Linked DNA regions of Stegostoma tigrinum. The protein of the gene in region 3 purifies or fractionates together with the protein of the main gene of each other region. This does not show direct contact. Links are inferred from orthologs where the notes say so. Each region holds a gene or a part of one and is shown on either strand. Other genes may lie near its edges.

What was found.
Region 1: the proteins of dcp1a (region 3) and edc4 purify together in Homo sapiens (co-immunoprecipitation; 9 studies listed by BioGRID and IntAct, with this or other methods). This does not show direct contact. The link is inferred for Stegostoma tigrinum from reciprocal best matches to the Homo sapiens genes DCP1A and EDC4.
Region 2: the proteins of dcp1a (region 3) and pnrc1 purify together in Homo sapiens (affinity purification with mass spectrometry; 3 studies listed by BioGRID and IntAct, with this or other methods). This does not show direct contact. The link is inferred for Stegostoma tigrinum from reciprocal best matches to the Homo sapiens genes DCP1A and PNRC1.
Region 4: the proteins of dcp1a (region 3) and ddx6 purify together in Homo sapiens (affinity purification with mass spectrometry; 8 studies listed by BioGRID and IntAct, counting the BioPlex papers as one, with this or other methods). This does not show direct contact. The link is inferred for Stegostoma tigrinum from reciprocal best matches to the Homo sapiens genes DCP1A and DDX6.

The regions. Positions count from the first base shown.
Region 1 is NC_081369.1:18,117,094-18,124,481, reverse strand, and holds the start of edc4 (enhancer of mRNA-decapping protein 4), read left to right. Parts: upstream 1-4,370; 5' UTR 4,371-4,450; coding exon 4,451-4,511; intron 4,512-7,388. UniProt on the Homo sapiens protein: In the process of mRNA degradation, seems to play a role in mRNA decapping. Component of a complex containing DCP2 and DCP1A which functions in decapping of ARE-containing mRNAs. Promotes complex formation between DCP1A and DCP2.
Region 2 is NC_081357.1:40,544,294-40,551,133, reverse strand, and holds the start of pnrc1 (proline-rich nuclear receptor coactivator 1), read right to left. Parts: upstream 3,018-6,840; 5' UTR 2,599-3,017; coding exon 2,155-2,598; intron 1,523-2,154; coding exon 1,058-1,522; 3' UTR 1-1,057. UniProt on the Homo sapiens protein: Nuclear receptor coactivator. May play a role in signal transduction.
Region 3 is NC_081364.1:29,252,668-29,260,629, forward strand, and holds the start of dcp1a (mRNA-decapping enzyme 1A), read right to left. Parts: upstream 3,019-7,962; 5' UTR 2,947-3,018; coding exon 2,734-2,946; intron 1-2,733. UniProt on the Homo sapiens protein: Necessary for the degradation of mRNAs, both in normal mRNA turnover and in nonsense-mediated mRNA decay. Removes the 7-methyl guanine cap structure from mRNA molecules, yielding a 5'-phosphorylated mRNA fragment and 7m-GDP.
Region 4 is NC_081385.1:2,254,030-2,262,043, forward strand, and holds the start of ddx6 (probable ATP-dependent RNA helicase ddx6), read right to left. Parts: upstream 3,014-8,014; 5' UTR 2,610-3,013; intron 1-2,609.

The DNA.
Region 1 (7,388 bases), on a different chromosome or scaffold from region 3:
AGGGCAATTCGGAGTCAGCCACGTTGCTGTGGGTCTGGAGTCACATGTATGCCAGAGCAGACTTGTTTTAAATTAAAATATTTTAACGGAAGTTGCCTGGATGTTGTTAAGTTTTTTTTTAGAAAGAAAAGGAATGATTGTTTGTGAAGAAATAAATTTATCACAAAACCTATTATCCAACAGCTGAGGCTGGTCATAAATTTGAATTTTTCACAGTTTTTGGAATCCCTATAAAATAAGAAAGTTTAGCAAGTTACTTTTGAGATTTTTTTTGAACACAAAGAACAACAATAAATAGTATTTAGTAATGCCTTGAACCACGCGGCCATGTTTCATTGGTTTTAAAGATGTTATGAAAACATTTTCTTTTAAACAGGACAAATAATGTTTTTCGAGAGCTCCTGAATCAGGGAAAATCAGGCAAGCAAGGGACTGCACACTTAGAATTAAACTATAATGACAGGCGTTGTTAAATCACATGAAAAGAAAGTAGAGGTGATTAATTAATTGATATTGAAATTAACTGGGAGCTTTCACTTGGAAATATGTGTGCCCTTGACCATGACCTTTTGTAAAAGACAACTTAAGTGAATGCTTTAGTCACTAAAACACTGGGACCAAACAGGGAGGAGATACAAGCACTCCTACACCACTTTCGATTTTTGAATATCACTTGAAAGTCAAGCATGTGTGGCATGACGTTAGGATGACTATAAAGGTGCTGAACTGATTTTTAGATCCGAAGTAACTAACATGAGGGGATCATGGTGAAAATGCCCTGCAGACTGGGTTTCAGAGTTTTCAGTTATTTGACACAATGCTTATTGTGGCCTGAAGAACAAGAAAACATCAAATTGCCAGTATACTGACTCATAATCCAATGGGAAACTGAAATAGTGGTTGATAAGTGAGTAAAATTTAAAATGAAAAGAATATTCAGTGAGGCATTTAAAAGTTACAGGGAGAAATATATAATGAGAATTACCTACAAGATGAAAACAGACGAAGGGAGGTCTAGACAATCTTCTACGTTTATGCATGATATGTTGGTGTAATGTTAGGATAGCTGGTCAAAGGTCCTGGGAATCATTGAAGGTATCCTATGTAGAACCAGGGAGAAGAAGGACAAGTCAAACAACTTGATGTATGGAAACAAGAAAGCAAATAACATGGACTATAAAACCAGAACAAACCGGTACCAACAAATGGAGAAAGGGTCAGTAAATAGCCTAATCATCACCTATATGCAAAAACAATTATACAATGATGTGAGCTATGAAACACTACTGCACTTTGCTTAGAAGGGGGAGAAGCTTACTTGTGTCATTATGACATAAGAAATCCAAGTAAGCCAGTCTGTGACTTCATTCTGGATCCAGTATCATCTGTTTATGACACAAATGTTCAGAAATGAGAACAATGCATGGTATTTTCAGTCAGCATAATGTCTGGAGAATGCGATGTGGGGAAGAATGTTGGTCCATTTGGAGTCCTAGCTTCTGCTTTCAACCCACTGATACAACTATGAGGGAAAATCATTTCTTGAACCCTGTATCAATGTTTACATCACGGATAGTAATATGGTAGCTGCACTGATATGGCAGTGCTGAGGTATACCTTTTCTATACAGTGGTAGTGAGAGTACCAAAGTTGTCACGATTCTTTTATCTAAGTCTATTGCATATTAACCACTTGAGATACATTTGGCTGTCTGCATGTTGTGGGAGCTTCATACTTAAATTAACATACACTATACTGGGCAGTGGAAGCAGTCACCAATGCACCCTCGGACTCTATGTAACAAAACAAAACCTTCTTTACTCAAATAAAAAATAGAAGTTACTGGAAAACTTAAGATTTGGCTGCATTTGTGCAGAGAGAAACAGGGTTAATGTTTCGTGTCTGGTATGATTCTTCTCGCTTTGATTCAGGCTTGAATATTAGCTAAGTTCACACACTTGCCATTCAATGAGCTGTTAGGCCAGGTCACACTCTGTGTCACTCAGTCTGCTCCATCTTTTAACCAAGGCTGGGAAGTGAGAACTTCCAGCTTTAGAACAACGCCTGTTTGCTGATAGCTGTGTTTGTGCTGAGGAGAAACTCGGACCTCTGACTTGATCAGGTGTTAGGAAACTCTCATCCCAGATCGGGATCTAGATGTTGCCTAGTCTGCAGTTAATCCATTGCATTCTCACTGAAGTCATGGCAGGATCGTGCAAAAAGGTCTGCGAATTTTCTATTCAATTGATAATTATTTTCTGTAATTTTAAGTTATTGGTTTAGGATAATACCAAACCAACGGTAAGTATCTGGAACAGGAACAGAAATTGCTGGAGAAAATTGCAAAATCTGGCCATGTCTGTGGAGGGAAAACAGAATAATCCTTTTTCAGAATTGATAGCATCTGGTGAAAAGTTACTCCGTTTTCTTACTCAACCAAGGATTTCCCACCCCTGTGGTTGACAGTGCCCTTAGCCAAGTCAGACCTATCACCTGCACTTCTGCCAACCCCCTTCTCTTCCTTCCCACATCAACAATACGGTCCCCCAATCTCTACTTTCCATCTCACTGGCCTCTGCATCCAAAGCACAATGAGCAGACATTTCTACCAGCTACAGCAGGTTGGCACTATGAGATATACCTTCTCTTGCCCTCCCCTCCCCTCCCTTGTCAGCTTTCCCTGGGACCGTTCCCTCTGGGACACCCTGCTCTCTCCTCCTTCTCCAATTCCAACACCTTCTCATGAAATCACAGAACTTGCAACGCTTGTCTGTTTACCTACAATTTCCTCACTCTTCTAGGTCCTTGACACCCCTTCCAGGTGAAGCAGCAATTTATCGGCACTTCACTCAATCTAGTCGACTGTATTCACTGTTCACAATGCAGTCCCCACTACATGGGGGAGACGAAATACAAGCAAGGTGACCGCTTTGTAGAACACCACCTCATCGGAGGCTCACTGATGATGTTACCTAGAATGGTGACGAAACGTCTGAAAACTAACCTTCCAGCTCAGCGAGCAACTCACAGCCAGAACCTCAACCTGAGCTACAAATCTTCTCAAAACTCACTATCACCTATGTTCTGTCTGTAAAAAATGACCATAAGCTTCCTGTTACCTCTCAATTCAACACATGCTAACCTTCTTTTTCAGCTGCTGCCGTTCTCTAGCAAGGCTCAGCAAAAGGTAGACGAACAGCATCTCATTTTCCATGTGTGACTTTGCAGCCTTCAGGACTCATATATATATAAAGTTCAATAATTTTAGAACCTAAACAACTCCATCCTTATCTTTCAGCATAGCCAACTTATTTTTACACACGCATAGTCTCTGTTATCAACTATTTAGCTTTTTTTCTTCCCTGGCTGACTGTCAACAATCTACTTATACCTCTCTCTGGGATCTTTCTCTACCTTCCTGATTACCTTGAATTTATCCACATGTCTTGTTGTACCATCTTTTATAATAGACGGAAGCATTTTCCCAACGATAAATAATGTTAATTGGCCTGTAATTTCCAGTTTCCTGCTTCCCTTCCTTTTTTGACGAATGGAGTTAGACTACTTATTTTTCAATCTAAAGAAACCTTCCCTGAATCAAATCAGTTTTGGGAAATTAAAACCAATGCATCAATTGTTTCATGGGCTACTTCTTTTTGCTTTGTTAACTTTTTAAAAATATCTGAAGAAACTTTTTCAATCTGTTTATATATTTTGGTTAAATTTCCTTAAAGATCTATTTCCTTCCTTCTTATTGATGTTTTCAGATTTAAATTGTTCTGCACTAGACAGGAAATAAAATCCGAAAAAAACTGCGGATGCTGGAAATCTGAAAGAAAAAGAGAAATTGCTGGAAAAGCTCAGCAGGTCTGGCAGCATCTGTGGCGAGAAATCAACAGTTAACGTTTTGGTTTCAGTGACCTTTCCTCAGAACTGTTCAAAACAGCAACTTCTGTTTTTGTTATATTGTCCTGCATTGTCTTCCGACTTGAGAGCATATTGAACCGTCCCAAAAGCATGACACATTCTCAACTCAAAGCTGCCACTAGTCTCTGCTTTCTGCCTCCAAATGTTTGGTCCTGCATTTCTGGAGGTCCATCCCTTAACCTAAATTAGCATTCCATTTCACACCGTATGATCTTTTTTTCTCTGCAACATGTTTCCCTTTTCTTCGTGAAACTTACATATGCATCCATTGGTACATCATCATATCAGGCGTGAATGAACCTTGTTATTCATTTAGGAGTACAAAGTTATTTGGTGACGGGGTGCATCGTATCGCTCCAGGACGGTCCGTTGGGCTGGGGTTCGGCAGTCAGAGGGAGAGTTTGTGATTACACCGGAAGAGACCTGTTTGTCCGTGGCACCGCCGACTGTTTGGCGGGGTGGCTGCGTGCGCATCCCTCTGGTTTTCGGGCCGCTGCCGTCGCCACTCAGCCAGGCGTCTAAGATGGATATTGAGAATGCTACACAGCACCTGCGGGATATGCTAAAGCTGGACCGGGTCTCCGGTAAGTATAGAGCCCGGGCCGCTTTGTTTAAAGGCTGCGTGAAGCCCTGGAAGCGGCTGACTTACTGGGGCTGGGCGGGTGTTACCCGGGAATCCTGGAGGTTGGGTGGAGTGAATCGCTTTAATCCGGAGTCCAGGCCTTGTTTACTGGGACCTCCACCGTAGATTGGCTGTCCCCTGAGGCACTGCTTTTTCCCTTCGCGGGGCTTAGTTACTCGAAGATGGTTCTCTCAGAATCGGGGACCTGCTACCGGCCCGTTGTCCGTGTGGTGGGGTTAGCTGCTCGAATGTAGTGCTTCCAGAGGGTGGTGTCTTTGCTGATGCCAGATATTGACCGAAAAGAACTATATGACCTGCGGATGCTGGAGATATGAAACAATAAACGAAATTGCTGGAGAAATTCAATACGTCTGGCAGTGTCTGTGCAGAGAAAGCAGAGTTAACGTTTTGGGTGTAGTGACCCTCCTTCGGAACCAATTTGTTTTTGTTGTTCAATATGTTTCACTGGTCAGCCAGTCGACTTTCAATTTCGTTTCCTGGAATAACACTGTTTATCACAGTCTAACGTGCAGGCAGAAATTTCTTACCGGATTGCTTCGACAGCTTGTAAATAAGTTCAGATGTGGATGCACCGACAGTCAACGTATGTTGGCTTTATTCTTAAAAGAGCCAAGAAAGTAGTAGTGTTGATAATTTGGCCTACTTGATCATAACCTGCATCTAGACTTTTTAATTTGAATTGATGCTGTAAATTATCATCTGAATCCCCTTCCTGTTCAATTATAATGGTAGAAAGTTTTGCTTAGTTCAGTTTAACACGTGTTGTTAAACTAATACAGACTTATGTTGACAGACCCTCTTGAGTGTTATCTTCTGATATTCTCATGCTTCATCAAGTTTAATTTTGACCTTTGTTGAAAATGGTTATAATCACTGATGGTTTGCTTAATATTTGCAAGCTTGCAATCTTTTTCATTTTATATAACGTGTTATGGACAGGAAAATGAGCCTGTCAGTCTAAGCCAGTTTACATTGTACGTTATGAAATTAACGCCTTCTCTGGAAAGGAACTTTTTTAAACTTTTGCGGTAAAAAGAACTTCAATGTTTCAAGACTACTGAGCATACTAACCCTATAGGTGTACGTTGCGTTGTGATATACATCATGGCTTTCAAGGTTCAAGGATAAAAACCTTCACTGTTTGTTTCAAAAGGCTGAGGGGTGACCTTAGAGGTTTATAATGTTATGAGGGGCATGGAAGGGGTGAATAGTCAAGGTCTTTTCCCCAGTGTGGGGAATCCAAAACTAGAGGGCATAGGTTAAAGGTGAGGAGGGAAAGATTTGAAAGGGACCTGAGGGGCCACCTTTTCATGCGAAGGCTGGTGCATGTATGGAATGAGCTGTCAGAGGAAATGGTGGAGGCTGGTATGCTTACAAAATTTAAAAGGTACCTGGATGTGTATATGAATAGGAAGGGTTTAGAGGGATGTGGGCCAAATGCTGGCAAATGGGACTAGATTTATTTAGGATATCTGATTGGCATGGATGAGTTGGACTGAAGGGTCTGTTTGCAACAAGGTTTCCATGCTGTACAGCTCTATGATGCTATAATAATGGGTCTTGCATGCCGGCCAGTTTGGTATTGACAGGAACGTCAAGTACGTGAACATCTCTCACCCTGGAGTGTTGTCAAATTCTATGTTTTGAGGTTTGACAAGCTGCAAATTTATTACAGCACCATTCTAACACTCCTGCATAAGTGTTTGTTTGTAGATTAACCACATGCATAAGTCCAGTTACAAATACATTGAAGGTAAAACCAGGGCTTGTATTTCTAACCTATCTGTCCTTTCCTGATAGAGTAGAATATGTTAGGCTGTTGGGTCTGTTGTATCATGTTTCGTTCTGCAGCAGTACATGCATACTGGTGGGTGAAAATATTGTTAGTTTAAAATGTTGCTTGTCTGTAACATAACTGGATGATCTTGTCGTTGTCACATTACTGTTCGTAGGATTTTGCTGAGCACATACTGGCCACTGTGTTTCTTGTATAGCAGCAATGACCACATTTTTTTCCTCTGCTGAGTGTAAATGACTGCTCTGAGCCTCTGCCTTCATGAGATAAGTCACCATCTTTTCCAGAACAAGTGCTCTCTTTTGGGTAATATTCCACAATCAAGGGATGAATTTTCCAACGTTTCACTGAAGGAATCTAGCCACATTAAGATGCTAAAAGGCTCGAAGCGTCATTTTCCAATAAACGAGGGCTGTATATTTGTTTAACTTCAGAAAGTCGACCTGTTAATCTCTGTAATATGGATGATTGTGGGCATCTGAATGAAACAAGTTACCTCATCATAATACATTAAGACTAATTCATGATGGGATTGTTCCACTGCTAATGTCATAAAGCTTTCCACAGGATAAAACACTGATGAATGAGTTTTTCCAACAGTTAGGAGAGCCACCATGGTGTAATATTTGGTAGTGTTTTTTGTGCTGATTGAACTAAACTACAGTAAACTTTTTGTCGACGCAGTTGACCAACTTCAAGCTATTAGAAATAACCCTATAATCGCAACTCAAAGTAGTCTTGAAAAGAGACATCTCAAGCCCCTCATCTTACAACTCAACTATTTTCTTAGAAATCCAAGATAGAATAATCTTACCAGGTTTCTTTATTTGGGGACTTAAAAGGGACAGAGTTGCTTGCTTGGTATACTGTGACTATACATAAGAAATTAGTTGATAACTTGGTAAAAACAGTCTAAATGTTGTCAGCTGTTGAGGTAAATGAAGGGGTTTGAGTGAATCTCTAAGAAATTGTGAATTTTATGCTCAGCTCTTTAATTAACTTCTATATTCTTAAGGATTTATG
Region 2 (6,840 bases), on a different chromosome or scaffold from region 3:
TTGTGCAGAATATGATTTAGCTATACTATAAATTGCAATTTTCACTAGAAGGGAAGTCTCATTGGCCCTGTGTGCATCTTGGTTCAGTGCAGGTTCATTTAGTCAATCATCCAGTCACCTTAGAAATCCAGTAAAATACCCACAATGAAACAGACAATACTTGCCACAGTACAACGATACAATCAGAAAGCAGGATCAGAAATACTAAGAATTTTCCCACCTTCCAAAGTGGAAGTGTCAGAAATTTAGATCAGCTGACAAGTATGTAACACACAGCTCATTATTTCAATCTGCTGCAATGATTGGGAAAATTGATGAGGGAAGTTATCAAAAAGCTTAAAAGTTTGTCAACTGTTGAGAGATCAACATTTAGAGGATCCACAAAACTTGTCTGTTAACCAGGAGGTACGGTGTTTACCAAAGACCAAAAACTATGCTCCTCCTCCAGCCAAGGCGTTATAGATGAATTTGGTGGAAATTTTTAAAAAAATCTTCACATTACATATTAAAACACCCAGTAAGATGAAAGTGCATCTTGCTGATGGTACGTAGTATCCTTCAGTAGTGCAGATAAAAGCAGTGCTTGAATCATTCTATCTTTCGCCCATAGTCTATTTCACGGTCAAGAACATATTGCAGATTGTCAAACATCTTTACAAGGGAGTACACAACTCTTCAGCTGTTAGTTTTTGCATTCAGTGAATAACTTGCAATGCTTGAGCCTTTAACTTCAGTTTTCCCATTTATATACAAAATATAAAAATTTAACTCTGCCCACCAACTGGCATAGGGCAACAAATTCTCGTATGAAATTATAATTCCTTTCTTTCAAATTGAGTATACGAAAATATACAAATAATTACATGGTTTACACTAATATACAGAATTCCACTTCATTACTAGCACCACTTGCATACGGTTATCCCACAATCACAAGGAGGAAGTTACAATTGTCTAAAATGCAGGACTTTCTGCTGCAACAAGTCCAATCCTGACAGAAACATTCTTAATTTTTTCGTCTAGTACAATGTTTAAGTTAACCTGAACTACTCTTGAATTACACATTAACCTTGAGTAAAGTTTTTAAGTGGACAGTCATTATTTCCTTACTCTCATCAGGATACTCAGCATGTGCTCCTACCCAATGACTGGGCGGTTTAGGTAGAACACTGGGTGATGGTGGCTCACTAAACTTTGGCCCAGCATAGTTTTGATCTCCTTGAAGGCTCAGCACAGACTTCAGTCCAACTTTCAGTAATTTTAGATTCTTTGAGTGGTGTGCAGAAACAATCGGTTTTTCTCCATCTTTTTTGACAGTATTGCAGTGTTCAACAGAAGGAGCATTCTGATTATGGCTGTTTTCATTCCTCTTTATTGAAGTTTTTCTCAACTGTAGGCTACGTCTGTTTCTTTTCTTGGCATTTAAAGGTTGGCAATACTCTTCTGTTTTATTTACACTATATATGAATTGTGTGTGTGGAATTATTGCTTTATCCGATCTTCCCATGTTGGATTTGGTCACCTGGGGCAGAAAACAAAAAAAAGAGAAAGGCTGCAAAATTTGAGAGAGCTAACAGCCATAAGTGTTTTTCTACGTTCTTAGTGAATGCCCCAGTGGGGAATTCCCTCTTTTATGCCGTTATCCGTGAAACTGGACAATCTAACAAAAACGATTAAGATCAGCTCCGTTTATCGAACTCCTATCATCTTACGAAGAGATTCTTCTCGCTGTACCTCAAGAAGATAGTTAAGGAATGGGGGACGGGGGTGGGACAGGGGGAAGAGAAGAAAAGGAGCGGAGAGGGAGATTTGACAACTTGCGAGAAGTCTCGGCACTGACCCTGCCCCTGCCCCCCGGAACCTCGTGAACCGTCACCTGGGGAACGGCTGGCTCTGTCGCCATTGGTCGGTGGATGAACTATGCTGATTGGCCACTTGTTGCTGGGGTGGGCGAGGAGGGAAAGGGGAGGGCGCGCGGCGTAACAGCCGTCGAACGGCCGCAGCGTTTAAACAGGGCCCTTCCCGCCCTGAAGGCAAGGCTAGGACTACTAACCGAGAACGGCGAATGTTTCCCACTTACCTCCCCCCTTATTAATTCCTAAACAGTGGGATGCAGGGCAGGCACGTAGAGGCATCAACTTTCTTGTCTCTCACCTTTACTTCCTTCTTGCGCTCTTCCGCGGTCAAGCAGCCGCCACTGGCTGGTGTCGTTTTCTCGATCCCGGAGGCTGGTGCGGGCCCTCCAGCCCCACCGCCTCGGGAAACCGGCCGCCCGTGAGAGTGTCTCTGCAGCAGCGCGGCGGAGGAAGAGCAGCGAATCTTCCAGGCTCGACTCACCGCGGCAGCTTTGCCGGGATGCTGTTGGGGATATTGCTGATGATGATGCTGCTGCTGGCTGGAGTGCGGGTGACGGTGGCGGCTCACAACGACGGTCTTTGAGGCTGCATTGACGGGCGGAGGGCCTGGCGGTGGTCGGGGTAGGGGTAACGGGTGCATGGGGACTCGCCGCCGCCGCCTCTTCCTCCGCTTACGACTTCTGGCTAAAATCCCGAACTCAGCATCTGAGGTGCGACGTTCAACGAAGGAGGCGGTCACCATGCAATGCCAAAAAACGTCTAATTCTTCCAAAGTAATTGTTGAGAAGCAAAGGAGGGGGTGGGTCCGGGGAAAGAGGAGAGTCACTGGCCTACCTCCAGATAATAAATACAGCTCGTCGTCGGATTAAAAGTTGAGTGAAAATGGCGGCCACTGAAGCGACTTCCTGCGATTGTTCGGTCACTCGCAAAACCTTCCTACCTCAGACTCTAGCTTTCCTCCCAACGCAAGCTATATATATATATATATATATATGTATATGTCGCTGGCTGGGTTTAATAACAGGCAAAGACTAAGAGGCCGACTCCAGCTTATAAACAGCACGAAGAACCATGGAGGCAACAGTCTTACACTTCTGACAACAACGGGGGGGGGGAATGGAGAAGGCAGGCGATCGCGACACGTCATCACTCACCGGTACCCACCAATGGTAGCGCGTTGTGGTGGTGCCACGTGACTAAAGACTTGGTCGCGCCGTCCCGTCCCGCCCTGTTCTTGCCCTTAGCAACCATGATGTCATTGGTCTGAGAGACGAGCCCGGATGCGGCAACGGGTATTGAAGTTGGGCGCAGGCGCACATAAGTCTGTCGCTTGTCTAATTTCTTGCAGTCGTACGTGTAACCTTTTTAACTATTTGTTTTGCCGTACTTGCTTACAGTTCCCTGTTTCCGTGAAGACCGTTGGAATTGAGTTTTGTGTATGTGGGCAGTGAAATGATCATCACGTGACGGTAATTTCCGTCTCTGGGGCGGTGACGTCTGCGCTGTCGGACGTCCTGAAACCTGTCAGTCCATTCAGATCGAAATTCGAATTCTTGCTCAATGACACGTGGTGTGGCGATGATTTCCACTGTTTTTGCTGTGGGATTTCCCTAAATTCCCCGGGAATACGGGAAATTGTACTCGTTGACACGCAACGAATTTCCTAAAACCGAAGAAGCGTTCTTTGACTAAAACGCTAATTGATTTCTGAACTTCCTTACGTTGACATTGTGTAACATAAATATCAGTCAATAAAATGATTATTTTCAGAAGAAAAACACGATTCATTCCATTTTCCCCCTGTACTTCCGTAAAACTTCCAATAGCTTTCTATTTCTTATACGAAAAGCACGTCCTCAGCCCGGGTATTCGAATGCGTTCAGGAATTTGCCTTAAACATTGCCACCTCCCCAAGGCAATGAGTTTATGCTTTTGATTCTGACGCAATCTATAGCCCTAGGAGCACCAATGCTTTGGAAGAGTTTTGCAATTTCATATCATAGAAATTAACCCTTTAAAAGTGATCTTCAAGCACCATCTTTGTAAGGACATTCTCTAGTCTGCACTGCTTTGGAACATTTTATTACTGTTTCCTACTCGCTACCCAATCGTTCACAGGCGATCAGCCACTAATGAATTTCTGGATAAATAATTGTACGAGTGGAATTAACGTTGAAGTTATTTCTGGATCAGGCAAGTACCTTCGAGGTGTGTCACAGCATATCCAAACAGGTTTATTAAACATTGGCAAGAGATGAGCAAAAAAAACTTTTTGAGTCACTAATTTGGGTTGAAGATAAGATCCTAACTTTTTGCAGACGCTATTTAGATACTTAACACTAAAATGTATTTAAAAATTATATATTCTAGTTTTTGTTTAAGTTTGTAGTCCTTGGTTTAAACATGGATTCTACTTGTGACTAGAATTTAAAAAGTACAACTATCATAAAATTACAAGGCAATTATTGTTCAGCAAGGCTGTTTTGTCTATCTTAATTTATCTAGCTATAAACATCTTAATTTTAATAAATTACTTTTCACATGCAAAATTAATTTCTTCTTATTCATTTGTGTGGTGTGGGCGTCACTGGCTGGCCAGTATTTCTTGCCCGTCCCTAGTATTTCTTGATAGCAATCAAATATGTTTAAGAGTCTGAACTGGTGTCCCATACATTCTACTCAATCAATTTGATTTATTCTATGCAGTGAATATCTAGCTCATGTTTAGAATATATTTCAGTTTTAGAATACAATTAAGAATTAAAGTTTAACTGGAAAAATTGAGATAAATGCAATTTATAGTTGAAACATCTGATGTTGTTTAAAATGTTGGTGCATGTTGCCTTCAGAGGTTAACATCTAGAAAGGTAATATCATAAAACTGTCAGTAAGCTTATTTTGTGAAAAGTTGGAGATGTGCAGCTCAGAGAAATAGCAAGAGCTGCAGATGCTGGAGTCAGAAATAACAATGTGGAGCTGGGGAAGTACAGTGGGCCAGACAGCATCAGAGGAGCAGGAAATTTGACGTTTGGGTCAGGACCGAAAATGTCAACTTTCCTTCGGTTGAGAGAGATGTAAATTAACTAAGCTTGAAACAGTTCAGTAAATCCTAAAAGGTTGGAAAACCCAATTACTTCATATTAAAGAAGGTATTATAAATTAAAGGAAAGCTGGAGGAATCCCTTTCTTCATGAAGCTTGCTCTATCACTCAAGCAGCTCATGGCTGATCTACTTCAACATTATTTTCCCACAGTCTTCATTTTCGTTTATTATTAATAGCTGCAAGTCTATTGATCTTGCACTTGAATATTTTCAATAACTTATATTTTCCACACTTCTCTCAAGTACAGACTTTCAAAGATTTATGATTGTCTCAATGAATAAAAACTTGTCCTCATCTCAGTTTTAAACTCATTCTGAGACTGCAAGTTAATTTAAACATCAATTTTAGTATAACTCAGAGCAGGCTATATCAGCCTGGTGATGGATAGAGTGCAATCAGTTTTTCTAGTTTCAGTTTGTCACAAACGTTTCCTCAGAAAGTTAGTTGCAGAGTTTACCTCATGTGGTTTGCAGAAGGTGGTTAAATAAATGTTAAGACCTGCATTGTAAGCTATTTTCATCATTGACCATTACGTGGGTGAGATTTAAATTCCGTTTTAATTTTGTGAGGGATTAGAAGATGGAAGATTGTCGAGTTTGAAGGCAGTAGTTCCTCTCAGTGTTATTGCAAAAGAAACTGGAGCAGTTTGGAATACTGGAAAAGTAACCAGAACAAAGGACTGAGGTAATCAGATTTTTTTTTTTAAAAATTAACAACTCCTAGGGAGATTGTCACAACTACTGTTCTCACACCAATTAGGATAACCTTAGATGCCTCCTTTCCTGTCCTCAATTTTTCCTTATAAGTCAAACATTTGAGATTATGAATCAGTCCTTTCTCTTCACCAGTTCTAATGCTTGAATATCTCACCCTTGTGGTTCATTAACTAGATTTGAAAGAACTGATTAAGCATAAAGTAAAACAGAAGAGAATTTGACTTTATTTTTTGAAAGGAATCCAATTAGTTCCACTTACTTGCCCCTTCTGTATATCTTTGCTAAATATAGTCATTGAACCCTGCTTTCCCCACTGTTTCAGACAGCTTATTTATTTTTATGAACTTGCAGCATTCGTATTTTCTCTTATGTCCTTGTTATGATTGAATCTTCCTGTGGTCATGATGTCTGGGAGCAGGAATGCTACCCCTGATACCACAAAATCTCCAAAAGCCACTTTTAATCAAGTGTTTTGACATACCTTTGGGGCAAATAATACTTGAAGTTAGATTCTACCACTGTACCACAAAGACTTCTCCATTTCTCACTTCATGTTGCCTGTAAGTATTTTGGGAATTATCCTAAATCTGTGTCTTTTGGTAGCTCGTTCTTTTGCCAATGAAGAGTTTTGGAAATATGGCTCCATGTTGTAGAGCTAGTGCATGCATTAGTTATGATTTTCCAATAATTTCTTGAATGGTCCTAGTCAACATACAGACAAGGAGCAGGAGTGAGCTATCCAACTCATTAAGTTTGTTCTGCCATTCAATTAGATTATGATTGAATTTGTTTTAGATTTTGTAAGAATGCAGGCTTGTGTATTTCCTGAATGATGACACGTCATGTTAGTCATGATGTGGAGGTAGCGGTGTTGGAATGTGGTGGACAAAGTCAAAAATCACAACACCAGGTTATAGTCCAACAGGTTTTTTTTGAAATCACAAGTTTTGGAGCATAGCCCTTTCGTCAGGTGAAATGAGAGAGAAGGACACTGACACAGAATTTATATGCAGAAAGATCAAGCGCAGAAAGTTCAAAAGAACATATAAATGATGTGAGTGGAGTGTCAAATAATAAGTTTCTGCATGTGATCAAAAGTGTCAGTCTGTGTCAGTATAGTGTCAACAGTTGAATTGCAAGCGAAGGGATCCGATTTATTTATTT
Region 3 (7,962 bases):
TAGCAAACAGATAACTATGGTCAATAGATTTTTTTGGGGTTGTAGGCAGATTTGCAATTCAGTTCCATGGGTCAGCATTGTGATCTTTCCTCTACTAATATAGAGGCACAGAAAGTAGGAACAGGCGTAGGCTATGTGGGCCCTTTAAAATTCAATATGATCATGGCGGATCATCCCACTCAGTATCATGTTTTCACTTTCTCCCCATACCTTGTGATCCTTTTAGTCTCAAGGACTAGATCCAAGTAATTCGTTCTTGAAATATATATATTAAATAATCTAGGTTTTGTGTGCAGGAGTTAAATTTCAAAGTTTTCAGAGAACACAAAACTTGCAAGAATTGTAAAATGCAAGGATGGTAGTGTTAATTTCACTAGCAAGTTTACGATAGGGGCAATAAATGACAATGTAGAGAAGAATTTTGGTGGGAAGAACATACTGAAAGACAATCTAAAATAATGGGTAGAATTCTAAGGGAGTGTAGGAGTAGATAGACCTGGGAGCCTATGTGCAGAAGTCATTGAAAGTGCTAAGACAGGTATAGAGACAGCAATAAGTAAAAAGTACATAGTCCTTGGTCTTATTAACTGGGTCAATAGCAAGGAGATAGACTTGTACAAGACACTTTTTAGATCTCAGCTTGAGTATGTTGCACAGAACTGGCACCATATTACAAAGAACGTCAAAGCATTGAAAAGAGCGTAGAATCTATTTATAAAAATAGTTCTAAGGATGAGGAACTTCAATCTACCTTCGTAACTTAAGTAGTTAGCCTTCTTCTCTGCAAGGAGAACAGTCCTAAGAGTAGATATGATGGAAAATTTTCAAAATCATGAGTGAATTGGATACAGCAAATAGGGAAAAACAACTCACACTTGTGAAAAAAAAAGCAAGTACAGAAGGGAATAAACTTAAAGTGACCTGCAAAGAACCAGGGAGAACTGAGGACAATATTTTTCAATTAGCAGGAAATTAGGGTCTGGAACGTACAAGCTGAAGCGTGGTGAAATCTGGTTCCATTGAGACACTCAAGAGGGTTTTGGGAGATTATTTCTATCCAAATTATGTGGAATGTTACACAGGGTGGGGGCGAAGCAGGAGATTGGCACCTTATAGTGATGCTCATTAATGTACTCGTAAAGACACAATGGCCTCCTTGTGCACTGTGACACTTCCCCAAAATTGTTTGTTTCCATTTTGTCAGCAACTTATAGTCTTAATATATTTTAGTCAATTGTGACAACAAGTTTTAAAGTATGAAATCTTATTGAGCTATTCTTTGAAGCATAAACTTAAAAATGATATTTGAATTTTCAAACTGTTTCAATTTTAAATACTATACTTCATAGCAAATTCAAAACAAAAATTGCAGGATGCCATGAGTCTGATGATGAAAACGTAGATATTCTATTGATTTAGCATAATAGGAATCCACACATCCAAGCTTGTCCAGAAAACATAAAATAGACAATATATGTTGTATAAAAAGGACGTATCTAATTTCATGTGATTTAACAAAATTATCAAATGAATTTCAACATAGGCAAGTATGGTTCAGTAATGCAAAGCCCTGAAATACTACATGCAGTTTAAGAGTGACACCATAGCAAAGATACGTTAGATTTGGAAAGAGTGGAGTACAGGTTTTACCAGATTGATTCAGGGGCTCAGTGACCCAACAGAATTGGGTCACTTGCATTTCCAGAGATATCATTTGTCCTACATTTCTGTACCTTTCATGAGGTAGTCAAAAAGACAAACTACAGTCACTTCTTTCAATTCCCATTGTGGCTTGGTGTAGTTGCAATGTGTTCCCATTAACCCCAAGCTGTTGGCAAAATACTCAAAGAGCAGCCAAACATGCAGATGACAGGCTCTAATTCCACATTATTTTCATTCATGGAATTTCTTGAAAACCCCATCAACCCCAGATGAAGTGTCCCTTCGATCATTTCATAACAGTTGGTCATGCTGCCTGGACTGTACAGATTAAAACTCAAACGGACAAATCACATTAAGCCTGTATTCTTGACCATTTATAACGTTAGTGGGAACAAGTAAAAAGGTGTAGAGAAGTTATTTCTACTGGTCAGTGAGTCTGATTACAAAGGTATTGTACATCTAAGAGTATGAACCAGGCCTTGCAGGAGTGCAGTTAAGAAACACATTTTACAGACAAAGAGTGAAAAGTTTGGACTCTTCGTCCAATAGTAACTGCTGTAAGGTCAATCGATTTTTCTTAACCAAAGAAACTGAAGGATTTGGCTGAGGAAGAGCATACGGACATCACAATTCAATGCTAGTCTCAAGCCACTTGAGCCTTTTCAAGAAACTTTAGTAATGTTATTTGATGATTAAGGAAAGACATTGGATAAATATAAGAGAATGAAAGTGACAGAAGGTTATGTTTCATAGCGCAGGATGAAGTCTGGTGCGAATAGTTTCGTATGCAACATGAATCAGTATGGAATTAGAGTATAAAAAGGTCTTCAAGCTGTTTAATGTTGACCGTTAAGTTTCTACCTTCTTATTTAACTTCAACACTCAGACCTTCAAGATATTAGACTTGAACAAATTTGTGCTGCAGGGCCAAAAGCAAAATGCAGAGACACAGCCGCCCGTCGAAAACTTCAAAAGGCTTCCCAGGCAAGTAAAGCAGTTCATAAAGATCGCTGCCGTTTTGGTTATTCTTTTTCCTCATCCCCAGCACGAAATGAAGAAACACCATCTTACCCACTCACTGGCCTTTGGGTTAAAAGTATACAACGCAACCTGGCTGGTCACATCGACGATGCTGGAGATGAAAGGGTCATTTTGTTTCAAGGCAGAAAGGCTTATATCGCGGCCTTTACTCAGGGCCTCCATGTTGGATTTCCTGAGTTGTGTAAAGGAGAAACTCAAGAAATGTTCCCTCCCCCTGACCTTCTTCCCGGAAAGACAAACCATTCACTGCAGCAAAATATCCGCACGCCTCAACACTTCCAGTTTGCAGATTCAAATGGAGCTTTTTTCTCTTCCGCTTCACATCGGTAAAACATTAACGCAGTTTTTTTAAATGAGGGATAAAATTGTGAAGATCGAGCATTACCCCTCCCTTTACAATAAGGATTTTGAAAAATTCTTCTGTGACTATTTTGCAGCCGTCATTTGTCCCTCGTGCCTCACCATTACTTATTCCAAAGTGAACGTGTCACTACCACTTGTTAAATCAGACACATCAACGTATCGTTAATAAGTGTAGCTCATAAGTAAATTTATTGCACCGGCGTAGCCCTGGTAATCCGCAGGAATAACAGCGGCAAAGCTTTGGGAGATTTTTAGTCATCAATCTTATAAATGGTGAGGTATCCCATTAAAAATAGCAAACGTATGCGTATGATTAAGTGGTACAGTAAACAGGTGCAAATACAGTAAGGAGCAGTTCGCGTGTTATTTAATTCGAATTTCAGTCAGTTATAAGAATCACTTCGCGTACGTAACTCACTGCGAAGTCCTGGCCGTACCCTGATATACAAATAACTGCTTCGTGTGCACACATTGATTTATTTTGGAGAGTCATTCTTGATTTTCTTTTTCTACACATTATAGAATGCCAGAGGGATGCTACTCGACCACAAAAACTCACATTTCCTCTATATTAAAAAAAACTGCGAGTGCTGGAAATCAGAACAATAAAACAGAAATTGCTGGCGAGAAGAATAGTAGGCACTGCCGATGCTGGAGAATCTGACGTTTCGGGTCTAGACCCTTATTCAGAAAATTTTCAAAATTAACAAATTTTTCCTGTTTTTGGCAATACTCAAGTTTTGTGAAATTAAACTACTTCAATAAATAATTATTTCAAACATGTAGCAATTGACAGGCCTCTAAAATTGCACAGTTGCTTATTAAGAGTTGAGCAATGGAGATTGTTCATCTGCACTTTTCAAGTTTAGCGTGATAATGATTTTGAAAGTGTAACTGTACGTGAATCAGAAGAGTTTTGTTTTCTGGCAGGATACATAAGGAAGTAGGATTGGGAATGGGCAGTGGTTTGAGATTGATAAGAGACATAAAAAGACTATGAGGTTGACCCCTTAGTCTAGGGACATGGGTTCTTCCTTTAGGACTTCTGTTGAGTGAATGTGCATCAGGTCCCATGTTTCAATCTTGGATGAATGCTCCTGTTGTGTTTCCCATAGTCCAAAGCAAGATTCTATACAGAGAAACTTCCTCATCAGCTACTGAAACATACTGTAGCATAATGTTCTGCCATCTGGAGGTGGCAAGGGCTCCTGGGGAGTATATTTGAGACCTTCTGCAACCATTGGGTACCTCAGGGGCAGGCGTGAATCTTGTCTACTCTCTTGTCTTGAGGAGCCTGTGTGATATATTTATGTACACTATACAATAATGTATGTCCTCTTTCAATATTTGAGGGCTGTTCTCAACATTTTGTTACATCTTAGCCATCCAGTGCAATGTGGGGTAGTCAGATTGAAGAACTTATTTTTTAGCATGCTCATGGGCCTGGTAATTAACAGGTCCATCAGTGAACTGTTGAGGAAGTTATTTGACCCAACTATCTGATTCTTTTTTCTTGGATATATCCATGCTCTGGTGTCCATGGAGATGGAACATCGGTGTCCATCAATACTGGAGGTCTTTTGTAATCAGTTATGCAGGGCACATAGCACTCTTTCTGTGACATTTTGGAAGACTCCACTAGAGCAATCAAGCTATCATTGGAATCGTCCCATGGCCTGCTTGATAATTGTTTGAGTTAACCCCAGAAGATGTTGTATTTATCCACTGCATATATTTGTTGGATGCCTTATAGGCATTGTTAGCTGTTTCTTTAATGAACAGCCCTTGTCAACCAGTTTCATCCTTGAACATGGATGGAACAAATATTTGGGTACCTAATTGGGTCTGACACCTAGTCTTTCCTAAGTATGTATGTGGCACAGTTGCTTGACTGAAATGTTGCACAGATGAAATGCACATTGTGCAGAAGGTCTTCCGCTGATAAAGGCTGTTGCCTGGTTTGTGGAAGCTTGTTGACAACATGCATGATAACCTGCATCTGGACTATCCAGAAATGTCCCTAAATCATTCAGTATTCTCAGCTGTGATCCTGAGACATAGAAATTCAGCACCACATAGACCTTTCATGCCACAGGCATTGAGCCATTTCTGATGTGGCTCAATTGATTTTCCAACATAGGTAATAGGTCTGTGCCAACCTACCTAGAAAGGCACAGTCCCCTGTGACACTCTTATTCTGACAATTGAAGATAGTTGAGGTTCAGCTAATAGACATCCTGTCTGGCCAGTAACTTCTTCTTTGTACATAAGACTGGATGCGTGCTCTTCTGATTAGTTTCTTTTGATTTTCATTTGCTTTATTGTTGCCACATGTACCTAAGTACGGTGAAACACTTTGTTTTATGAGCAGCACAGGCAGATCATTAGCAAACAAAGACGTACAGATCATAGGGTGCTTAGACAGAGCAAGGCATACAAGGTTACAGCTACACAGGAGGTGCACAAAGCAAGATCAACTTTAGGTTTGAAATTTGAGCAGTCCATTCAGCAGTCAAATAACAGCAGGGAAGAAGCTGTTCTTGAACCTGTTGGTGCAAGTATCCAAGCTTCTGTTTCTTCTGCCTGACAGAGAAGGTTGGAATAGAGTTTGTGTTGTCATCCATTCGTGATGTAGTTGTATACCGGTGCCAATACATGATGTCTTCCAGAGTGACTGGCAACTCATTAATATCTGCAAAACAAAATGCATCATCCATATTGGTCTCTATCTCAGATGAGGATGCTAATCCAGACAAAGCTTTGGTAATATAATGACCTTCCAATTGCTTGTACTTAACATTTCACTGTTAGGCAGACAAAATCAAAGTCCATTTCTGCTTTCTGGCTGTTATTGAAATGGATATTGCTGACTTTAGATTCAAAATAGCTCTCAATGGCTTATGATCAGCTTTGACTGTGTGAAACTACAGCATACAAGTATTTATGAACAACAACAAAGTTGCTGGAAAAGCTCAGCAAGTCTGGTAGCATCTGCAGAGGAGAAAAAAGAGTTAACGTTTCGGGTCTGGTGACCCTTCCTCGGAACAAGTATTTATGAAATTTGTCTTGCTCCAAAAACAGAAGGTTTAATGTTGAGAGATAACAAAGTGTCGAGCCGGATGAACACAGCAGGCCAAGCAGCATCAGAGCAGCAGGAAAGCTGACATTTCAGGTCTAGACCCTTCTTCAGATATAGGGACAGGGAGGGGAATTCTGATGTAAATAGGGAGAGAGGGAGAGGCGGATAGAAGATGGATAAAGAAGAGGATAGGTGGACAGGAGACAGACAGGTCAGAGCCAGTAAAGGTGAGTGTAGGTTGGGAGTTACGGAGGGCATAGCTCAGACCAGGGAGGACGGACAGGTCAAGGAGGTGGGATGAGGCTGCTAGGTAGGAGATGGAAGTGGGGCCTGAGGTGGGAGGAGTGGATAGGTGGGAGGAAGGACAGGTTAGGGAGGCAGGGACAAGCTGGGCTGGTTTTGGGATGCGGTTGGGGGAGGGGAGATTTTGAAGCTTGTGAAATCCGCATTGATACCATTGGCCTGCAGGGTTCCCAAATGAAATATGAGATGCTGTTGCTGCAACCTTCGGGTGGCATCTTTGTGGCACTGCAGGAGACCCAGGATGGACATTTCATCCGAGGAGTGGGACGGGGAATTGAAATGGTTTGCAATGGAAGGTACGGTCATTTGTTGCGAACGGAGCGTGGGTGTTCCATAAAGCGGTCCCCAAGCCTCCGCTTGGTTTCACCCGATGGAGAGGAGGTCACATCGGGAACAGTGGATACAGTGTATCACATTAGCAGATGTGCAGGTGAACATCTGTTTGATATGGAAGATCTTCTTGGGGCCTGGGATGGAGATGAGGGGGGAGGTGCAGCACATCCTGTGTTTGCAGGGAAAAGTGCTGGGTGTGGTGGGGCTGGTGGGGAGTGTGGAGTGGACAAGGGAGTCATGGAGCAAGTGGTCCCTCCAAAAAGCAGATAAGGGTGGGGAGGAGAAAATGTCTTTGGTAGTGGGGTCAGATTACAGATGGTGGAAGTGCCGGAGGATGATGCGTTGGATCCGGAGGTTGGTGGGGTAGTATGTGAGGATGAGGGGAATTCTGTTTTGGTAGGTATTGCGGGGAGGGGGTGTGAGGGATGAGTTGCGGGAAATTCTAGGTAGGAACAGGACGTTTTGCGCACAAAGTGCTCAACAGTTCATCCACTTCGTTAACACCTTCCACCCCAACCTTAAGTTCACCTGAACCATCTCCAATACCTCTCTCTCCTTCCTGGACCTCCCTGTTTCCACAGGTAGCTGTGGGAGTCAGTAGGCTTGAAATGGATATCGGTTTTGAAGTGGTTGCCAGAGTTGGAAACGAGCTCCTCGTGGGCACCGCCTCGTGTTCCCACCTCCTAGAATACATCTCCTATTATTCAACTTCCCACAAAAATGCCATCCCCTATTCCCAATTCCTTTGCCTCTGCCAAATCTGCTCCCGAGATGAGGCATTCCACTTTCGGACATCCCAGATATCCTTATTTTTCAAGCAGCACAACTTCAACAGTGGTTGAAAATGCCCTCGACCGTGTCTCTCACATTTCCCACAACTCATCCCTCACAACCCCGCTCCCCGCAATAACAATCAAAACAGAATTCCCCTCATCCTCACGCACCACCCCCACCAACCTCTGGATCCAACATATCATCCTCTGGCACTTCCGCCATCTGCAATCTGACCCCGCTACCAAAGACAATTTTTTCTTCCCAATCCTTTCTGCTTTCTGGAGGGAGCACTCTCTCCATGACTCCCTTGTCCGCTCCATACTCCCCACCAGCCGCACCACCACCACCACTTTTCCCTGCAACAGCAGGAAGTGCTACACCAGCTCCTATACCTCTCCTATCACCCC
Region 4 (8,014 bases), on a different chromosome or scaffold from region 3:
AACAAACCTAACTCAGGAACACAGAGACAGAAGATATCAGGACAGTACGCAAACTTCTGAGCAACTATCTACCTATCCTTCACGCACAAGTTGTTTTGCATGGGACAGAACAGTCAGACTGATCAGAAATGTCAAAATCTATTAAGTTGGAGAAGGAAGAGGAAGCAAGTCATCTTCGATCCAGAAGCACTAGGACAGGACAGCACAGATGCAGGAACTAGGAGCCTTGGTGCCCTCGATTATAACAATACACATGCATATAATACACATATCAAAACAGTGAACAGCCTGGATCTCCTTTCAAAACACAAGCTGGGAGGTGAACTACATGTTTCTATCAAAACCTTTCATCACTTTATATAGTGGACATAGAGAATGATTCTGCTTGGTAGCAAAAAGCATAACTAAAGGCCATCAATATAAGGTAAGTCAAGAAATAGAATATGGAATTCAGAAAAACTCTTGCACGATAAAGGCCAGTACGTGGAAAGCACTACCATACGAGTGGTTGAAGCAAATGATTAGATGTATTTCAGGGGAAATGATAGACGGGCATGAGGGAGATAGACTAGAGAATTACGATAATAGATTTAGAGCAGGTAGAGATGGGAGGTGTCATGGAGAATTAAGACTGCCATGGACTGGTCAGGCCAAATGGCCTGCAGCATATTTTATGTACAGTAAGAAAACTGTTATTTTGCCAGCTTCCAAGTAATCAAATAGCTTGCCATTTTATAATACTGATCTGGACCTAATCATTTTCATCCAATTTACAACAAGTTCGACATTGCATTGGACATAGGTAGTTAACATTATTAAAACTTGCCACTGGCTCTTTTTGCAGTGGAATAGACTAATAACTAGTGTATAAAGGGCAAAGGCAGGTATTTTAAACTGTTTCAATAAGTTGAAACACATCTATACTAAACACTGAATTAATTGCTGACTTTGCGCTACTCCATTCTATTCTATTCTATCCTATCACTTCTGCCTCCAAAATTGAAAAACTTAGTTAAACTGAACAGCATGGACAAATCAGAATGCACTTGTTCAAACAGACTAAGTTAAATAACCTCAAAACAAAAATCATCGGTACAATATTCCAAACATATATCAACCTTCCAAAAATCAAACATGGTTACGTAAGAGGGATTGAACACTCAATTTTTAAAATTTTTTTTAAACAATTAAGAGGATGAGGGTACCACTGGCTAGGCAGCATTTATTGCCCATCCCTAACTGCACAGACAGCAGTTCAGAGTCAACCATATGGCTGTGGGTCTGGAGTCACACATAAGCCAGACTAGGTAAGGATGGCAGTTTCCTTCCCGAAAAGGACATTAAATGTCTTATGTATTAAGCAGGGAGGGAAAAATCAAAGCAGATAATCAACCAATTTTGAAACAAAAAAGTTTGAATTCAACTTCCAAAACCTTGTCAACCTTATTTCCTTCCTTTAAGGTACTCCTTAAAACCCACCTCCTTGCTCAAATTTTACCAATGGGAACTTCTTTGTGCTTTGGTATCATTGTCAAAACAAACGTTCTGGTGCCTGGGGATGTTTTACCACGAAAAAAAGTGATGTACAAGTAGTCACTATTTTTCTAATATTTTGTAACAAATTTATCTTTATCCCATCTACACAAGATTGCATTCACAACATAAAAATCAAGATAGCAAACTTTGGCAATGTAATGTAAACAAATTTAAATGAAAGTTGATAACCGTCCTTAAAAACAACCAAGGGCTGCAGAAACTTCAATTACAAGAACTTAACCTTAACCTTAGCCATTGAGGTAGAATTTCTAGTACAGCTTAGACATTTTTAATTTTAAAAATAAGTTCTATCGCTTGAAATTAAAGAAAGTATCAACATTCCAAACTATTGTTAGCTTTTTATCTTTTTTGGAACAACAGCAAGATTATGATGTTTAAAACCCTAAAGGCCCAACACCATCTGTCACATTGTAGTGACATAAACAGAACGAAAACTGGAACAGAAAAATCTAGCTTCACAGGAGTAAACAAAAATCCACGCGCTTTATTTAATATGCAAGATAGATATTTATGTACTTTTACCAGCCAGCAGACGGAGTGAGAAGCTATAGTTTACAAGAAAGAGTGAAGTGAGGGAGAAAAGGGTCAATATTTACACCAGTTCGCTCATAAAATTCCGGCCGCCTTCTACCACTCCGTCACCCCGAAAAAAAAGGAACAGCCTAAGCTCAAACACTTCCTAAAAAATTCATAAAGAGAAAAACAAGTCTCGACAGCATTATCAGAAATTAAGTAAATTACAATTTTCAGAAGACATTTAACGAAATCTTTCGACATATTCGCGAAAAACGCATAATTTAAAAAAACTGGATTCAAAACACGAAATTTTAAAAGACACGGTCAAACACATTAAAACAAAAAAAAAACGACAAAACAGAGTGTTTGTGGCCTTACAGCAAAGCAACGGCCAACGGAAGAGAGGAAAAAATAATCAACATCCTACGCAGCTTCATAAATAACAGCAGGTAAGCGACCGTTTCCAAAAATAAAATCACATCCTAACTCCTGACACTCGAATAAAAGTGTTAAGAAAAAAACATCATTGAACAAACCCTCGATGGCGACGATTTCTCTCCGACTCTGCTTATGTTTATTCGCTTTTTTTGTCTGCCCGATTCCAATATGGCGTCTTCTCCCTCGGCCCAACGTCATCGGCCGAGCCCGAATCAATCAGTTGACTTTTAAAGCTATCCCACCCCCAAAAAACATCTGGGTTACCTCATCAAACTCAATAAATCAACTACAAACTGTCAGAATTTGTCATCAGTATAAGAATTTAATTTAAGTTTATTGGTGGCGTGTCGGGCGAAATTGTCCTACCACGTGATCTGCCCCCCACCCCATGCAATGTGTGCCTTGATTTTAGCCCAGAGTAATTTGGGAAATTTTTTTTGTTACTGTTGCTCTTGGTCACTTATTTTCCTCTCTTCCCTCCTGGATTTGTCATGGTTTGCTTTGTTTTTTTTTCCTGCATTTGTATCGCTGTTTGCTGATGCTGTTGTTGTTGTTGCAGCAGCAAGTTCGCGCCCTCTCCTGGCAGCTCCATTTTCCATCGAGATGTCGCAAGGATTTGGAAATTGAATCCATCCACGTTGAGTGGTCTCACTTACATGTCCCTTCAAATTCCCCATTCTGTTCGAGTATTCCTGACAATTGCTCGAAGTTTAAAAAAAATGTCGGAGCATGGAATGTTTTGCCACAGGAAGTGTTTAATACGTCTTTTCGAGGTGATTATTTTGAAATACAGATACGAGGACTATTTTGGAATGGTTGGCTTTATTTTGTACCATGAGCTCTGATTTGATAACTACCCCTCTGCTTCCCTCGGCTACACTAGCCACAGTTAAACAACACCATAATCTTATATTTTTTTGTACATTCATAGGTTGTGAGCACTTACTGGAAGTTCTTTATTCAAAGTCCATTCAGGAAGCATAGGCATTTAGCTGAGTGTAAATGCCTTGAGGAGAACCATTTTGCCTCCACAAAGTGTGAGGCTGGATGAACCCAGCAGGCCAAGCAGCATCTCAGGAGCACAAAAGCCGACGTTTTGGGCCTCGACCCTTCATCAGCAAATGCAAATGCTTTTCTGATGAAGGGTCGAGGCCTGAAACGCCAGCTTTTGTGCTCCTGAGATGCTGCTGGGCCTGCTGTGTTCATCCAGCCCCACACTTTGTTATCTCGGATTCTCCAGCATCTGCAGTTCCCATTGGCTCTGACTCTAGTATAAGCAAGGCAAATCTTCATGAACCACCACAGGTGGAATGTGGTCTGAGCAGCTATTATTATTATTATTATTATTATTCACAACATCTTAGTATTTTAGTTTAATTCCCCTCCCACCCTATCACTGCAGAGTGGACTTGCATTTATATAGTGCTTTGCATGATAATCAGATGTCTCATTGAGATTTGCAGCCAATTACAGCCTAGTTCCTGACAGATGCAACATGAGAAATGAAGCAGTCAGTTTTTACATGGCAACCTCTACTAAACAGTTTTCTGATTTTGTGTTATTCTTCAATGAGACGTGAGCATATTTGTTGCCCTGCCCTTGAGAGGATGACGGTGAGCGCCTTCTTGAACCTTTGTAGTCCATGGGATGTAGATACCCCCACAGGACTGTTAGGAGGGAAGTTCCATATTTTTGACTCAGAAAGAGTGAAAGAACAGTGATATTGTTTCAAGTCAGAATGTTGTATAGCTTGATGTGAAATTGAGGGTGATGGTGGTGTTCCAGTGCATCTGCTTGTCATTCTGGATGAGGTCTTATGTTTGGAAGGTGCTTTCAAAGGAGGCATAGCCACCTGATGCAGTGCATCTTTGGGATGGAATATAATGCTGCCATTGTATGTCTGCACTAGAGGGAGTGAATTTTAAGGTGATGGATTGTGTACTGATCATACTGGTACTTTATCTTGGGTGGTGTCAAATTTCTTAAGCTGTGTATTTAGGCAAGTGAACAGTGTTCCATTACACTCCTGGATTGTATCCTGTAGATGGTAGGTAGACTTATGGGAGTCAGGAAGTAAGTCTCTTGGCACAGAATTCCCAGCCTCTGACCTGCACTTGTAGCCCCAGTATTTACACAGTATCTAGTTCATTTCTAGTCATTGGTAACTCCCAGGATGTTGATTTTTACCCTCGTGTTAAAATTCTTCTCTAGCTTGTTGATCACTATTTATAATGTGTTCCAGCTCCACAAGTCCTCTGAGGTAATGCAAGCTTAATTCTGATTTTTTGAGGATCCCTGATTTTAATCACACCACCATTGGTGGCCATACCTTCAACTGCCAATCCCTAAGCTCTGGATTCCCTCCACATCCATCTACCCACCTCTCTACCTTCCTCGTTTAAGTCACAAGTTAAAAACTATATCTTTGAAGTTTTTGATCATTTCCCTAAGTAACTCATACTATGTTTCACTGTTATATTTTATGAAATGTCTCGGAATGTTTATTATATTACAACACCACATAAATACAAATTATTGCTATAACTCTATGTCAGTGTGGCCTAGCTAGTTGTAGATATTTTAATCAACCTGTTCTAATCTGGTGACAAGGGTAAATAGGGTGGTCAACAGCACTTTAAACTAGTAAGTACGGGGGAAGGGAGGAGTGAGCGTACAGGGAAGCAAAACAGCATGTCTGTAGGTGGACGAAGCTTCAAGAGAACTGAAGAGCTGTTAGTAATGGAGGTGATAGGACTCAGAAAAAGGGTGCAAAACCTGGCATAAGGGCACTTTATCTGAATGCTTGGAGCATCCGAAACAAGGTGGGTGAATTGGTGGTGCAAATCATGGCAAATGGGTACGATTTAGTGGCCATTACAGAGACACGGTTGCAGGATGGTCATGACTGGGAGTTAAATATCCAGGGCTATCAAACTGTTCGGAAGGACAGACAGGAAGGTAAGGGAGGTGGTGTCTCTCTGATTTTTAAGGATGAGATCAGGGTGGTAGTGAGAGATGATATAGGCTCTACTGAATAAAAGGTTGAATCCATTTGGGTGGAAATTAGGAATAGCAGGGAGTATAAGTCACTGATAGGTGTGGTCTATAGGCCACCAAATAATGACATTGTGGTGGGGCGAGCAATAAACATAGAAATAGCTAATGCATGTAAAAATGGTACAGCAATTATCATGGGGGATTTTAATCCACGTATCGATTGGTCAAACCAGGTCAGTCATGGCAGCCTTGAGGAGGGGCTCAGAGAATGCATCCACGATAATTTCTTTGAACAATATGTAATGGAACCTACGAGGGAGCAAGCTATGCTAGATCTAGGCCTGTGCAATGAGACAGGAATAATTAATGATCTCACAGTTAGAGATCCTCTTGGAAGGCACAATCATAGTATGGTCAAATTTAGATTAATTCCCTACAGTGTGGAAACAGACCCTTCTGCCCAATAAGTCCACACTGCTCCTTGGAGCATCCCACCCAGACCCATCCCCCTATAATCCACACACCCTGAACACTACATGGCCAATCCACCTAGCCTGCACATCTTTGGACTGTGGGAGGAAACCAGAAGGACCCGGAGGAAACCCATGCAGACATGGGGAGAATGTGCAAACTCTGCACAGACAGTAACCTGAGGTTGAAATCGAACCTGGGTCCCTGGTGCTGTGAGGCTGCGGTGCTAACCACTGAGCCACCAAGCTGCCCTAAAATACAGATTTAAAATACAGATGGAGTGTGAGAAGGTTAAATCCAGTGCCAATGTCCTGTGCTTAAACAAAAGAGTCTATGATGGGATGAGGGAGGAGTTAGCTAAGGTAGAATGGAAGCAAAAACTTTATGCTGGGTCAATTGAGGAACAGTGGGGGACTTTCAAATTGATTTTTCGCAGTGCTCAGCAGAAGTATATTCCAGTGATAAGGAAGAACTGTAGGGAAAGAAATAGTCAGCCATGGATGTTTAAGGAAATAAAGGAAAGTATCAGATTAAAAAAAACATACAAAAAAGCAAAGAGTAGTGGGAAACTAGTAGACTGGGAAATCTTTAAAGGTCAACTGAAAGCCACAAAGAAGTTATAAAGAAAAGTAAGATAGATTCTGAGAGTAAAATAGCTCAGAATATAAGAACAGGCAGCAAAATATGCATGTCGTAAAAGAGTGGCAAAGGTAAACATTGGTCCTTGAGAGGATGAGAAGGTCAATTCAATAACTGGAAATGAGGGAATAGCCGAGGCAGTTATTTTGTGTCGGTCTTCACAGTGGAAGACACAAATAACATGCCGAAAACGAAAGGCAAAAAGGTTATAGCAGGAGAGGACCTTGAAACTATCATTATCACTCAGGAGGCAGTGCTGGGCAAACTAATGGGTGCTAAACGTAGACAAGTCTCCTGGACCTGATGAGATGCACCCCAGGGTACTAAAAGAGGTGATGGGGGAAATAGTAAATGCACTAGTAATTATTTACCAAAATTCACTGGACTCTGGGGTGGTTCCCACAAATTGGAAAACAGCCAATGTGACAGCACTGTTTAAAAAAGTGAAGTGGACAAAAAGCAGGTAACTGTTGACCAGTTAGCTCAACTTCTGTATTGGGGAAAATGCTTGAATCTATCATTAAGGAAGAAATAGCAAGACATCTGCATATAAATTGTCCCATTGGGAAAACCCAGCATGGGTTCATGAAGGGTAGGCCATGTTTAACTAATTTAGTGCAATTTTTTGAAGACATCATTTGGATGGTGGACAATGGGGAACCTGTGGATGTGGTGTATCTGGAGTTCCAGGAGGCTTCTGACGGGGTGCCACACCAAAGGCTGCTACATAAGATAAAGTTGCACGGTATTACATGTACTATATTGGCGTGGATAGAGGATTGGTTGACGAGTAGAAAACAAGAGTAGGGATAAATGGGTGTTTTTCTGGTTGGCAGTCAGTGGCCAGTGGTGTGCCTCAGGGATCAGTGTTGGGACCGCAATTGTTTACAATTTGCGTAGATGATTTGGAGTTGGGGACTGAGTGTGGTGTGTCAAAATTTGCAGATGACACTAAGATGAGTGGCTCAAGCAAAGTGTGCAGCAGACACTGAAAGTCTGCAGAGGAATCTCAGTTGTCTAAGTGAGTGGGCAAAGGTCTGGCAGATGGAGTACGATGTTGATAAGTGTGAGTTCATCCATTTTGGTAGGAATAACAGCAAAGTGGACTATGCTTTAAGGGGTAAAAAATTGCAGCATGCTGCTGTGCAGAGGGACTTGGGTGTCCTTGTGCATGAATCGCTAAAAGTAGGATTGCAGGTGCAGCAGGTAATTAAAAAGGCAAATGGAATTTTGTCTGTCATTGCTAGAAGGATAGAGTTTAAAAACAGGGAGGCAATGCTGCAGCTGTATAGGGGCCTAGTGAGGCCACACCTGGAGTACAGTGTGCAGTTTTCGTCTCCTTACTTGAGAAGAGATATACTAGCACTGGAGGGGGTGCAGAGGAGATTCACTTGGT